2 linked regions of the Neodiprion lecontei genome follow. The protein of the gene in region 2 interacts with the protein of the main gene of each other region in a biochemical or structural test. Links are inferred from orthologs where the notes say so. Each region holds a gene or a part of one and is shown on either strand. Other genes may lie near its edges. The genes, in order: mRNA export factor Gle1 and nuclear pore complex protein Nup155.

Region 1 (6,093 bases), on a different chromosome or scaffold from region 2:
ACACCGGTTCTCCTTGAATCGGCTGCTGCTGGCCAGAAAACATCACGCGTACCTAAATATGCGGAGAAAAATAAACTAAAGAGAGAAGACAAGTTTATTCATTATTTTTCCGTGTCCGCAGATTCCGGCTCGCAAATATCGACGCTGAAAATGGTGGCGGGAAAACAGACGGAAGTCGGAGTCGTCGAGGCGCCGGTGTTGAATTTTCACCAAAAACGGACGCCCAGCATCGGTTCCCTTTTCGTCTTGGGGAGCCTTGGCCCGTTGCCTCCGTACGCGATCTACGTCAATAAGTCAGTTTCAGGTATGAGGTTTGTTTGAACGATGCACGCAGAGCCAGCTAGACGAACCGCTTCTCAGCATCCCCGAAATTGCTTGCGTAATTCACCGTTGCGGCATAATTGAATAGTAAATCGAATGAAGCTGACCGGATGACTTGAGATCTTGACTAACGCCTAAAAAAAGAGGATCATAATAATAAAAAGACAACATCAGGGCCCACCAGGCCGCCTTGACACGTGGTTACGTCACTGCTGACGCAATGACGAGTCATCGTCGCGTCCTCGGACACGTAAAGCGCCGTTCGTCCTATAATAACAGGAATTAAATTATAGGCTCGCTCTGCGGTTTCGAACGCTTACTTGATAGCCACCTGTCTTTCACCCATTTTACACTTATTTCACATATCTAGCTCCGATTTTTTCTTCACAGCTGAACTGAGGAAGAAAATATCATCGTACTTGCTCTCCGCGATGAAAAACGAACATTGGACAGAACGATTTTCTCCCTACGGAGTCATCGGCTTTACGTCGAATTCCTTGGACGCCTACATGACCGACGAAGGCGCAGAGGATGTGCCAACGACCGTTCGTTACTATTAGATTTGATGATAATTTGTTGATCGAAGGATTGTAGTAGTGTTTGATTTCAATATTTTACATTGTACTTGTTGTTTTAATCTCTTTGTTCAATATCACACATTCTTGAGGTTGTCATTGTTATATTAAGTACATGGTACGTTATACAGCAAAAGACGGACCAACATCCTCGCCCTTCTGTGCGATCAAATCGAAGAAAGCACAGTTAAATTTTAATTGACGGATGATATTAAATCGAACATATTCTTCATTACGTGTACGTATACTCGTGGCTTAAACTTCGTATCAAAAAAAAAAAAGAAACTTATCTAATTGAATAAATTGGAAAAATTTGTTACAAATTCGACGCGTCTTCTCTTTCGTCAATCTTGTATGAACCGCCTAATTAATTTACACTAAAAAGAATCTCACGACAATGAGCTAACATGATAATTCACATAACACGTTATGGTCAAGTATTATGCACGCGACGGCTGTGACGCGATTATTAACGGTATTCGATGTACAGAATCCAAAATTTTTTGTGATTTTTAATCAACAAAAGCAGCGGCACAATAACAATCTCTAGTTGAAGCATCGGAAATTTCGAACAACGACGCGTGATTCCACCGTGATAAAACTTTCGGAAAATTACTCCGCTACCAAAAATTTTGGGGCAGCTGACCATCGGGGGGTGGTATAGAGCCTTTGGTCAAAGAATTTTTCAAAAACTGTTCCAACCGAGCAAGAGGACCACCGGCTGTACCTCCGATGCTATGCATACGAGGATAATATTGGGTGATAAGTAAGGCCAGCAGCTTTGGGAATTGCTTTGGATAAGTTTTCCACAACGCGTGTCCAGTCACTTCAAGCATGTCGAGTATCAAGGTTGCACAGATGTCAGGTCGTGGTTCTGTAAGTGAAAATCGTATTTGAAAACAAATATTCAAAGAAAACATCACTTTCAGTAATACAGTCAGGTAAAACGTTGAATAACATTTACCGATGTTCAAAATAGCAGCCAACCATCTCCAAGCGTTTTGTAAGCCATGGGGATGTGAACTCGTGACGAGCTTTCGCTGCCTGGTTACAGTCAGAGCCGCATAAAGCCTCATCAAGCCAGACATTCTCTTCAAGAATTTGTCCTGCCGTTCGACGGTTCCATCTTCTGAATATTTGTAGCCCAATGATTTGTAGTAGTCCTCGTTAGACTGGCCCTGTTGTTGAGGAAGGAATATCGGAACTAAGTAAGGGCACGTTTTGTAGAAATAGGCCAAAAGTAGTTCACCGAAGTCCGGATAGTCGTTCCAGAGAGCCACGATAACTGCTGCAACGGAAAATGCCATTTCCGGTTTGCTGGAGACTAGAGCTTCGCCTTGATTCTGTTTAGATATGTGGAAAGTTGTAGTGCAATGAAAAAGAAGGTAAATTTTCATCGACATATTTAACGTACCACAAATTTCTTGGCCAAGGTATGCTTGCAAAACTGTATGCCTTGCGGATGTTGGTTTGCATTAGTCGGCGGCTTTCCGCCCAGCAAATTATGCAGCTTTTCGTATTTGTCCATAAGATGTTCTCTGCTAACACCGGAAATCGCATTCACCGGTATATTTATTGCTTTTTGACACTCAAACCGGAACTTCTTTGTACTCTCCGATTGCGTTAGAGGCGAGCACATGATTTTATGATTTTCTAGTAGCTGTTGACTGTCGAGGTAAGTATGCAGTGAAACCTTGTCAACAAACTCAAGAAGATCGTCTGAAAATGAAACACAAAGATTAGCAAGGTGATTTCTTACCGAAAGCTGCTATCCACATGAAATAGCAATTACATCACTCACCTGTTTTAGACTCTGGGACGACTGATTCCACTGATAAATGTGTCTGATTTGTAGTCTCTGGTGCCCTATTCTCCTCTGACGCATTTGCTGTGATTTGGCCCTCGACACCAGTACTTTCAATACTGGTCTCACTTGGACTTTGATCAGGTTGAACTGCAGCTTCCTGAGCCTTAGAAGCCATTAATTGCATCTGCGCTTGGGCTTGTCTCACTTCCTCTTCCCTGCGAGCTACTTCTGCATCGTAGGTAGCATTTATTCGATCTGAAAACATAGGAGGTAAAATATGTGAAACAGTTTGTACTTAGATATTAGTATCTACTAACCTATTTCTTGCTTGAAGGTATTCAAGATACTCTCACTATGTTTTGCAAGACTCTCTGCAGTGTTAACATCTTCTTCCGTCAATTCGCCTGACTAAAACAGTTACCATTAGTTACCAGTCGTCAATGTCCCAAATTATAGAGCAATTACAGGGCTCTTACTCGACTGTTTGTGAAAAGAAATTGGTAAATTGAATATAAGAAGCACAAAACGTCCAAAAATAGAAAAGACAGATCAAGTAAGCATCCTGCAATTACACTACAGTAAAACCTCACTTTAGCACGCTCGAGCAGTCCTTCCATGCGTTTGCTGAGCTCCTTCAGCTTGACTGAATGCGGTGCAAAGGCAGGTCCAAGGATATTCCTGTCCTTGCAGGACTTTGATACCGTGCTGATGTTCTGGTAAGTCGACGTAAAGCTTGCATGGAGCGGGAGCATTTTCTCAAACAGTACTTGCTTTTCTTGATTCCTTATTCTCTGTTCCTCAACTTCCCGTTCCAATTTCTCTTTCCGCTCCAATATCCTCTGTGCATGTAATTGCTGTTCATGTTTCCTTTTAATTTCATTTTGTTGAGCCACGTGTTCCTCCTCAGCCTCAAGCCTGGCAATTTCATCCTTCTCTAGACTTTCCTGATGCTCTCTGTCAGCTATCATCGTGTTCCGAATCACAGCCATTTGTTCTCGCAGTTCAGCTTCCGCCCTCATCATACTCTGAAGGCGGCGTTGCATGTTTTGCTGAAAAATGAATGCAAAGTTGGTTTTTGTTTCTTGGCCAAAAGTGTAAAGGAAATTTGCTGTAAGCTTCTTACTTTGACTTCTTCTCTTCGTTGCACCTCATTTTCGAGCAAGATTTTCTTTATCGAAAAAGTTATACCGCTTCTGGTTGATATTTTTGGACTTTGTGACCTCGGCTGTGGTCTAACCTCTTTGGTTATACCGTTGTTCGGCTCATTTTCAATGTTCTCGTTGTCCACATGATAGTCAGGAATCAAGACAGAGTCTGGACCAATCGTGACGTGCCGAACAGCGTCTGATATGCGAGACGCCTTACACAAAGCGGATACTTTGAGACACGTAAAGTCTGAGGTAATGTCATTCATGTTATGCTGCTAAAAATAAGAATTATATATGCATCATAAGTTTGTTAACGTATAAATGGTTTATTAACAATTTTCAACTCAAAAATTCATTAACTATTATTCATACCGTTTCGCCATTCATTGTTCTTGCAAAATGTGTTATATCGTTGTACAGTCCAAAGAAAGTTATATAAATACGTCAATTAGGAGTCGTTTGTCCTCCGTTTCATTATTCTATCAAATTTTTGAACAATCTGGCCGCAGGGGTATCAATACGTTCCCCATAGTCAGCTGATGTTTATTTCATAATATCAGTAGCACATGTTTCAACAAAACTATATTTTATACATTGTAGGTTAATAAATACAATAGGTTAAATATTTGACAACGCTAGCAACATAACAACCACACACACTGTTAGTTTGGAAATGTACCCAACTGATGTTAATGTGTCTTGCTTGTGTCAGATGTCGCCACCGGTTCACGGCTGCGTTTTTATTCTCTAGTGATATTTGAAAAGACCCTAGATCAAGTGACAATTTTATTTTATAAGAGTGGCAGCTCGAAGGCCGTCCAATCAACGCTGACCTTGAAGAAACGAATTGCCACAAAGATCTAGAAGTAATGTGAACATGGAACGAGGAGAATGCGCCAATGGAAAGCACTAGACTTTGTACTCTGGTCGAAACGCACGTGCAGCAACAGCGGAGCGGAGCAGAGCACGACGGTCCCCGTGAAAAATAATTTCCTGTATTTGTGCGGTTGTGTTGGAGGAAAGGTGTGAGAGTGCAGGGTTGGTTGTAAAATTGTAAAAATAATGGCTCTCGGCTCGCAGGTGGAGACGACCGGTGATAACGGGACAGAAAAGATTCCGATAGTGAATGGGAACGTGAAGGAGGAATCGACCGCGAAGGGTGAGCGAAAAATGTTGATACGTTTTCCTCGTCTTTTTTTTTTTTTTTCAATTTTACCTCAGCCAGTCTCAACCGGGTCCAACCTCCGAATCCAACATTTAACGCTAACCGTTACGTAACGCAGTGATTCTCGAACTACGTTAGTGCACCCCGTGCGTTTTGTTGCAGTTTAACAACGTAGTTATATCATGAAATTAGCCGGGTGGTTATGTAACTCGAATTACGAACGAGCCAGTGCGGGGGTCATGTGAGCGCGCCGATTGCGGCGGCGACTCCTACCTCGAACAGCAGCCGACGCTGCAGACGAAATATTTTGATTTTCGAACGTGAGGATGGACGCCCATAGACAGGCCCGCGCCCTTCTCGTGTTATCGAATCGATCGATCGCGTTCAATTTTATACGTGATTGATAATAAACTGAATTTATTAACATAACAGACACTCTCGCTTTTCCCGTCATTCGCGTCCAGATCTACATTACCGCTTCTAACTGGTCCGCCCCTTCCCTCAAATTGCATCATCATTAGTAACGAATTTATCGTTCCGTTCACTCCGTGTATTTCCCCTGACTTCTTTTATTTTCCTCTCCTTTGCATTTCGGATCGAAACACGGAGTGTTGTCCTCTTCGCAATGACACAAAAGTAAATACCTCTAAGCTCAGTCTATTTCACAATAAATACCCGTAACACTAATCTCGGATGGATAATGGTTTTCATTTGTTCCTATGGTATTCTAATTGATTTTAAAGCGAGTTTTCGTGATTCGAAAATTGACGCCGCTTACTCTGCAGACAGACGTGTTTTTTATTCTAAAAATTATTCAATGCTATTCTGATCATTAACATTTTTGTGGCAGAAAGTACACCGTCCCATAAACAGCGATTTTTCACCGACCACTACAATCAATGCGTTGCCGAAATCAAATGAAACAGGTTTTTCTTATTCCTTGAAATTGGTATGCCGTACGAATTTGCTTGTACATGGCAAACTCAAAGAGTATGCAAACTGAGAAATCAATGTCCCATAGAGCGGTGCGTAGTTACCGAGAGTTGAACCGAGAGTCTCGAGGCCACGATTCGTTGT
Region 2 (5,222 bases):
GCATGGAATAGATTGAGCGAAATACCTGTGCTGTTAAAAATATGAATTTACGAGGTGCCTCCATGTGCTGCCTGACTAGTAGAGGAGGATCTCCGTGTGGATTAGTTTGTTTCTCAATATGAACAACTGTTTCTCCAGGGATCTCAGCCATGGCCCAAGCAGGGCTATCTAATGGCAAAACACTCTGCGTTTCAGCCAAGTAGTTAGTGAATGGGTAAGCATCGTTACTCAAGCACCATGCCGTTTCTGTATCTCCACCGCAGATTAGAAGAAGGGTGCCTGAATATGAAATATAATAGTGACATGAAGAATAAAAATGCGGTATCTAACCTGGCACAGGAAATTTCATTCACCTTTTCTATAGTGTGCCATTTGAACTTTTCTTGGTCTGGAAATGGGAGCATTAGCTGCATATCCTGGCGGAAGTCTGACGTGTATCAGTTGGAGACAATGTGGTCTACTAGACGGATTTGCAATTGAACTGCAGGTCAAATAAAAGCGCGTCCCGGTTGCTGCAACGGCAACTAAATTAAGATGGATGGATTCTGATTCCGCTAGGGCAGATATGCTGACAAGAGGTCGGAAATTGTTGCTATCCAGTGTTCTGCAATGTCGAATAATATCGTGAAATACTTAATGATGCATCCACCAACTTTAAGAGTAATAGACACGAAGGTTTTTAAAATTATAAAAGTAAAGAATCTTACTTTACAACATGGACAGCATTTTGGACCAGCGAAGCTTGCGATACAGATGTAATTTTTGATGCATTTCCTTTGTCTATATCCCAGACAGCTATGGTACCCTTATCACCGAGGGTGTATAAAATGTTTCTACTATCGTCAACAGATATTTGAACAATTGCTTCCTCTTCAGACAAGGCAACTGTGACAAACGATGGTACCAAAAAGGATAGCGGACCTTCGGAGTGGTTTATTTTTTTGCAACGCTTACCGAACCATGAGCTCTCAGCCTATGTGAATAAAGCAGTATTGAAAAATAGATGGAAGAACATATGGCTACACACTAAGAATGGTCTATCGGTCACCTGGTAATATATCTCGTAAAGTGAGCCATTTCTGCCACCAAGAAATATTCGACCACTATTGGTATTAGCTATTGTTGTGATAGCTATTCCATCAGTAGGGACTATGAATATTGGCTCAGGTACAAGCTGCATTTCTCCCGGTGTTCCTGGAGTAGAATGTAGATAAGTTGAGTAAACTATTTGACATGTGAAGTGTGTTTAAGAAAGAAAAAAAGTTCGACAATTACCATCATTGGTATCCGAAAATGTCACACCGAGTACAGATATTTCGATCGTTGTGGTCAGAATCAATAAATATTTGACATAACTCTGAAATATTCCTGGTTTCGGTTTGACCAACCCAACACTTATTATTGTCTCATTGAGCCCGTCAAAATAAGCCACGTCAGCCCTGGAATTTTGTACTTGCGTCAAATAGGATGAACTAGATAAGCTTGATAAAAAATTTTTCTTACCCATTTTCGTAAGACCAGACATAAATATCACTATCGATTGTTAGCCAGGCCTTCGAGATATCGGTGAATAAGCCCATCATACAATGACATTGCATATCTATATTTTTTACTAAGGGTGAAACAGGCATATTGAAAGTCAAAACCTATGAAATTGTAAATCCCACGCCTATAAAATATTCATTGTTATTTTTTGAAGGATACGGCCGAAGTGCTCCATCACTTCAGATGGCAACGGAACTTTGCCATGCATTCTCATCTGATTAATGGTTGAAAAGCTGATGGAAGTGCCGCTCAAATTGGGATAATCATGATCGTCAAGACCACTGACTGTTGGACCACCTGGAAACAGATAAAGTGATTTTCGATTACTATTTGTTTATTACTATAACTAATAATGAGGTCTTCTGCGTACTTATTACTTTGCTATAGTCACCTTGTGCGTTGTAGTGCATAAGATTTATTAGGGACGGAAAATTGCTATCGGCTGTGATGTGTTTGTCGAGCATTTTTCCAGCCATCTCCAATGCATCCAGGTGGATCTTCAGCGGCTCCATTGTTATACAATTAAGTGCTGTTATTGCTGCTATTGTTTATATCTGAAATAAATTAAATTTGTATTGAACAATGTATCCATGAGCATTGCAACTACACAGGTGATTTTGATATATAACCGGAATAGAGGCAGACCGTTTACATTCTCGAAGCGACAATTGATTGTTATTCAGAAAATATTTGGTGTGTGAAATAAATTAGAAGTTCAATTGAATTAGGAACCAGAGGTGATTAATAAATTAAGACGAAGACAATAGAAGTGGATCAGTTATAATAATAATTTATTCAAATTAATAAGTTAATTCATCTAGACCGCTGAACGAATGGAATCAAGTACTTGGAATTGACATTTGAGGTTACCTTCGTCGCATGTCGTCAGAACGGTAGCTCGGACAAGAATAATAAAAGACTTTTGAATTATTTTAAAGTATAATCGTTTACTAGTTCAACTGAGAAACCTTTATAGGTCAAATGCTGTTGTTACTCACTTAAGAAACCGTTGTTTATAGTTTCACCCTAAAGTAGTGTTGGTGCCGGCTTTGGCGGGTAAGTACAGTGATCGAACGCAAATGCATGTAAATTTGATTTTTCCATACGTGTTGCGGAGATATGACGATCGATTAATTATGAATTATTCACAGATATTCAATGATCTCACACAACCAATAGATATCACAATTCGTAATCCGTTATAATCGTTGCTTAATTCACAGCCTAACCTCACGCACGAGGGAGCCATGCACAATGGCCGCTTCTTCACTCACGCCGCTACAGCTGGTTCGGCGGTTAGCCAATCACGTCACAGCACATTATCATCAGCCAATGGCGTGCATACCAGCTTAGAGGAGGAGATTTCAATTTCGCATTGTGTACTGAAACATTAATAAATTTTGAAAGATTCAGACCCACTTAAAGTTAAGAAGAGTGATGATGTATGTACTTAGAAGAAAGAGACTTAGTTTAAACACAGTTCTACTGAAACATGTAGCTGCATCGTTGACTGAAGTATATATCTTCGGTTAACGGTTCCATGAAAACAATACATGAACAAAAAACGTGATGTATTATAATATCTAATTTATGTAACATATGAACTTTCGCTAGCTTTCATGCTTATAGAAAAATAGAATAAGTTGATTAGTGCGTGTATAATGTCTCACTACCAGAAACTCATGCATCGGATTCTAATCATTTGGTAAGTTTAAATAAATGAAAAGTATCGATACAAATACAGCGGCAATTTTTCGGTAATAAATAAGGGAATGCTGAAGTCTCTGATCAGATGATCACACAAGATGTATTTTAGTGACAACAATTTCGAGTCTGATACGTTTTATATTTAAATTATATATAAAGGTATCTTATTCGTATAAGTCATATAAAAATTTCGATACGAGTGGCGGCTTACATATTATGTTACAACACTTATAGCTTAATGCGTTTATACGATTAGTTGTAAATATTCATTCCTTGGCCAGCTTCTGTTATGCGCCGATTCCTTACGAGGCGATGTTGTATTCCTGTTGAGTCGTTGCCCAGGTGCCCCACGATTCCCAGGTGTCGTCAACGGATTTCAGGTCGATGGCATCGTCCTGTAAATAAAAATTGTATAAAATAATCTCCAACTCCGTAGAATGTGAAAAAACATCGGTTTTCAAACCCGAATTTCAAAAGAAGTGAAATGACTTCTTTCTTTCACATATCCGATCACTGATGTCTGTGAGACCAATATCAAATCACCTTGAAAATGAGATTGGATTTGCCATCCCAGTTTCCGAAAAGTGAAAAGAGCTCAGGGCTTTCAGCGTAGGTAGAGCTAGCGTCTAGAATTCCATGGATGAATTCACGGCGAGCATTTTCACTCCTACTACCAGAGATGACGATGACTCGCGGGGGTTCGACACCGAGATTGCACCTTTTACCATCTTCAATCGGGGCGCGACCACCATTTGCACAGAGGAGCTCGAAGTCCGATCCCTTTGGAATTTGGTCGGGCGTGCCAAGTTTATCTGAAAGATCAAATGAAAAATGATCGATTCGAGCGAGTATGCAAACACTCAAGTTCCGCGGTAAAAACCCTCGAAGCGAACGAAATTCTCACCAAGTTGAAACAGCGCCGTGTAAGAAACGAAGGCGACATCTCCGTTTCCGGCAATGAGACACCTGTGTAAAGTAAATAAGAGACCAGTGAATATCAAAAAAGTGAAATAATCGCGAAGTGGATAAACCACCCGTAATATGCAATGGCGTACCTCAGTGCTCCCAGATCGCCGTTGAAGGCTTCAGCTTCTATGGGCTTACACTTAGTCTCTTGGATGATCTTGTCGGAGCCGGAAGCGATGTTTCCGGCACACTGCGAGCAGAGTTTCGATTGCTGAGGTGCTCCGGGTGCGCAACTTCCGGAAAAGAATTCCGCCAAATCGTCAGGGTTTGTGATCTGCTTGGCTGCCTTCAGCGCGTGAACGGGAGCCGACCATCCAGCAAAACTGCCCTTGTAGCCGTTGTGGCAGGATTTTTTGCCCTTCAGGTCGACTAAACGTTAAAAAAGTTTGAAAAAATTACTGTCGTGACTATGTCACGTTGTTGAGACGTATCGTAACAACGGTATGATCAAACATATCCATACCCAAGTTGTTGATGGAGCTCGTCTTCTTCACGACGGCAACCGCCGGTCTTTCACTTTCTTTCGTTGCACCTTCGCCGTACTTTTCAGCAATTATAGGTTTCGCGTCGTACTCTTTCATTGCCTTGTCCACCAAACCACCATCGATTGAGACTATGTCGGCTTTGCCGTCTTTAACTGACTTCAGACACGTATCCACGTCCTTCTCAAGGAGACATTCCAGCTTGGGTCTCACATCCCTGTCGGGAGGCATAAATTATGACGCAAATATCTCAGGCAATTACCAAATACGAATTCTCAAATTTCTAATCGGCATACTAGGTATAATTGCAAGATTAAAATCCAATTAATATATTGCACATCGACTATAAACGAAAGTAATTTAACTTAATCATGGTATAGTTACTGTAAAATGAACTTCAATTCCAGCAATAGCACATTTTAATTACCTGGAGAACGTTGCTCTGGCGAAGGCATTGCACTTGTCGAGAGCTTCCGTGGACCAAACACACCATTTGGCACTCTTCATCGGACCGCCGAAGTC

Evidence for each region.
Region 1: the proteins of nuclear pore complex protein Nup155 (region 2) and mRNA export factor Gle1 form a complex in vitro, tested with the Homo sapiens proteins (2 studies listed by BioGRID). The link is inferred for Neodiprion lecontei from reciprocal best matches to the Homo sapiens genes NUP155 and GLE1.

What each region holds. Positions count from the first base shown.
Region 1 is NC_060264.1:4,404,410-4,410,502, reverse strand, and holds mRNA export factor Gle1, read right to left. Parts: upstream 4,534-6,093; 5' UTR 4,239-4,533; coding exon 4,224-4,238; intron 4,127-4,223; coding exon 3,827-4,126; intron 3,753-3,826; coding exon 3,294-3,752; intron 3,112-3,293; coding exon 3,021-3,111; intron 2,959-3,020; coding exon 2,698-2,958; intron 2,616-2,697; coding exon 2,311-2,615; intron 2,240-2,310; coding exon 1,861-2,239; intron 1,771-1,860; coding exon 1,517-1,770; 3' UTR 882-1,516; downstream 1-881. Other genes in the region: uncharacterized protein LOC107227322, read left to right, coding at 122-304, 712-881; clustered mitochondria protein homolog, read left to right, coding at 4,914-5,010. UniProt on the Homo sapiens protein: Required for the export of mRNAs containing poly(A) tails from the nucleus into the cytoplasm. May be involved in the terminal step of the mRNA transport through the nuclear pore complex (NPC).
Region 2 is NC_060265.1:27,705,957-27,711,178, forward strand, and holds the start of nuclear pore complex protein Nup155, read right to left. Parts: upstream 3,184-5,222; 5' UTR 2,544-3,183; exon of another isoform or gene 2,416-2,543; intron 2,100-2,415; 5' UTR 2,058-2,099; coding exon 1,937-2,057; intron 1,843-1,936; coding exon 1,705-1,842; intron 1,601-1,704; coding exon 1,504-1,600; intron 1,440-1,503; coding exon 1,276-1,439; intron 1,195-1,275; coding exon 1,049-1,194; intron 974-1,048; coding exon 708-973; intron 605-707; coding exon 354-604; intron 280-353; coding exon 26-279; intron 1-25. Other genes in the region: transferrin, read right to left, coding at 3,555-3,647, 3,796-4,064, 4,157-4,218, 4,308-4,587, 4,682-4,917, 5,128-5,222.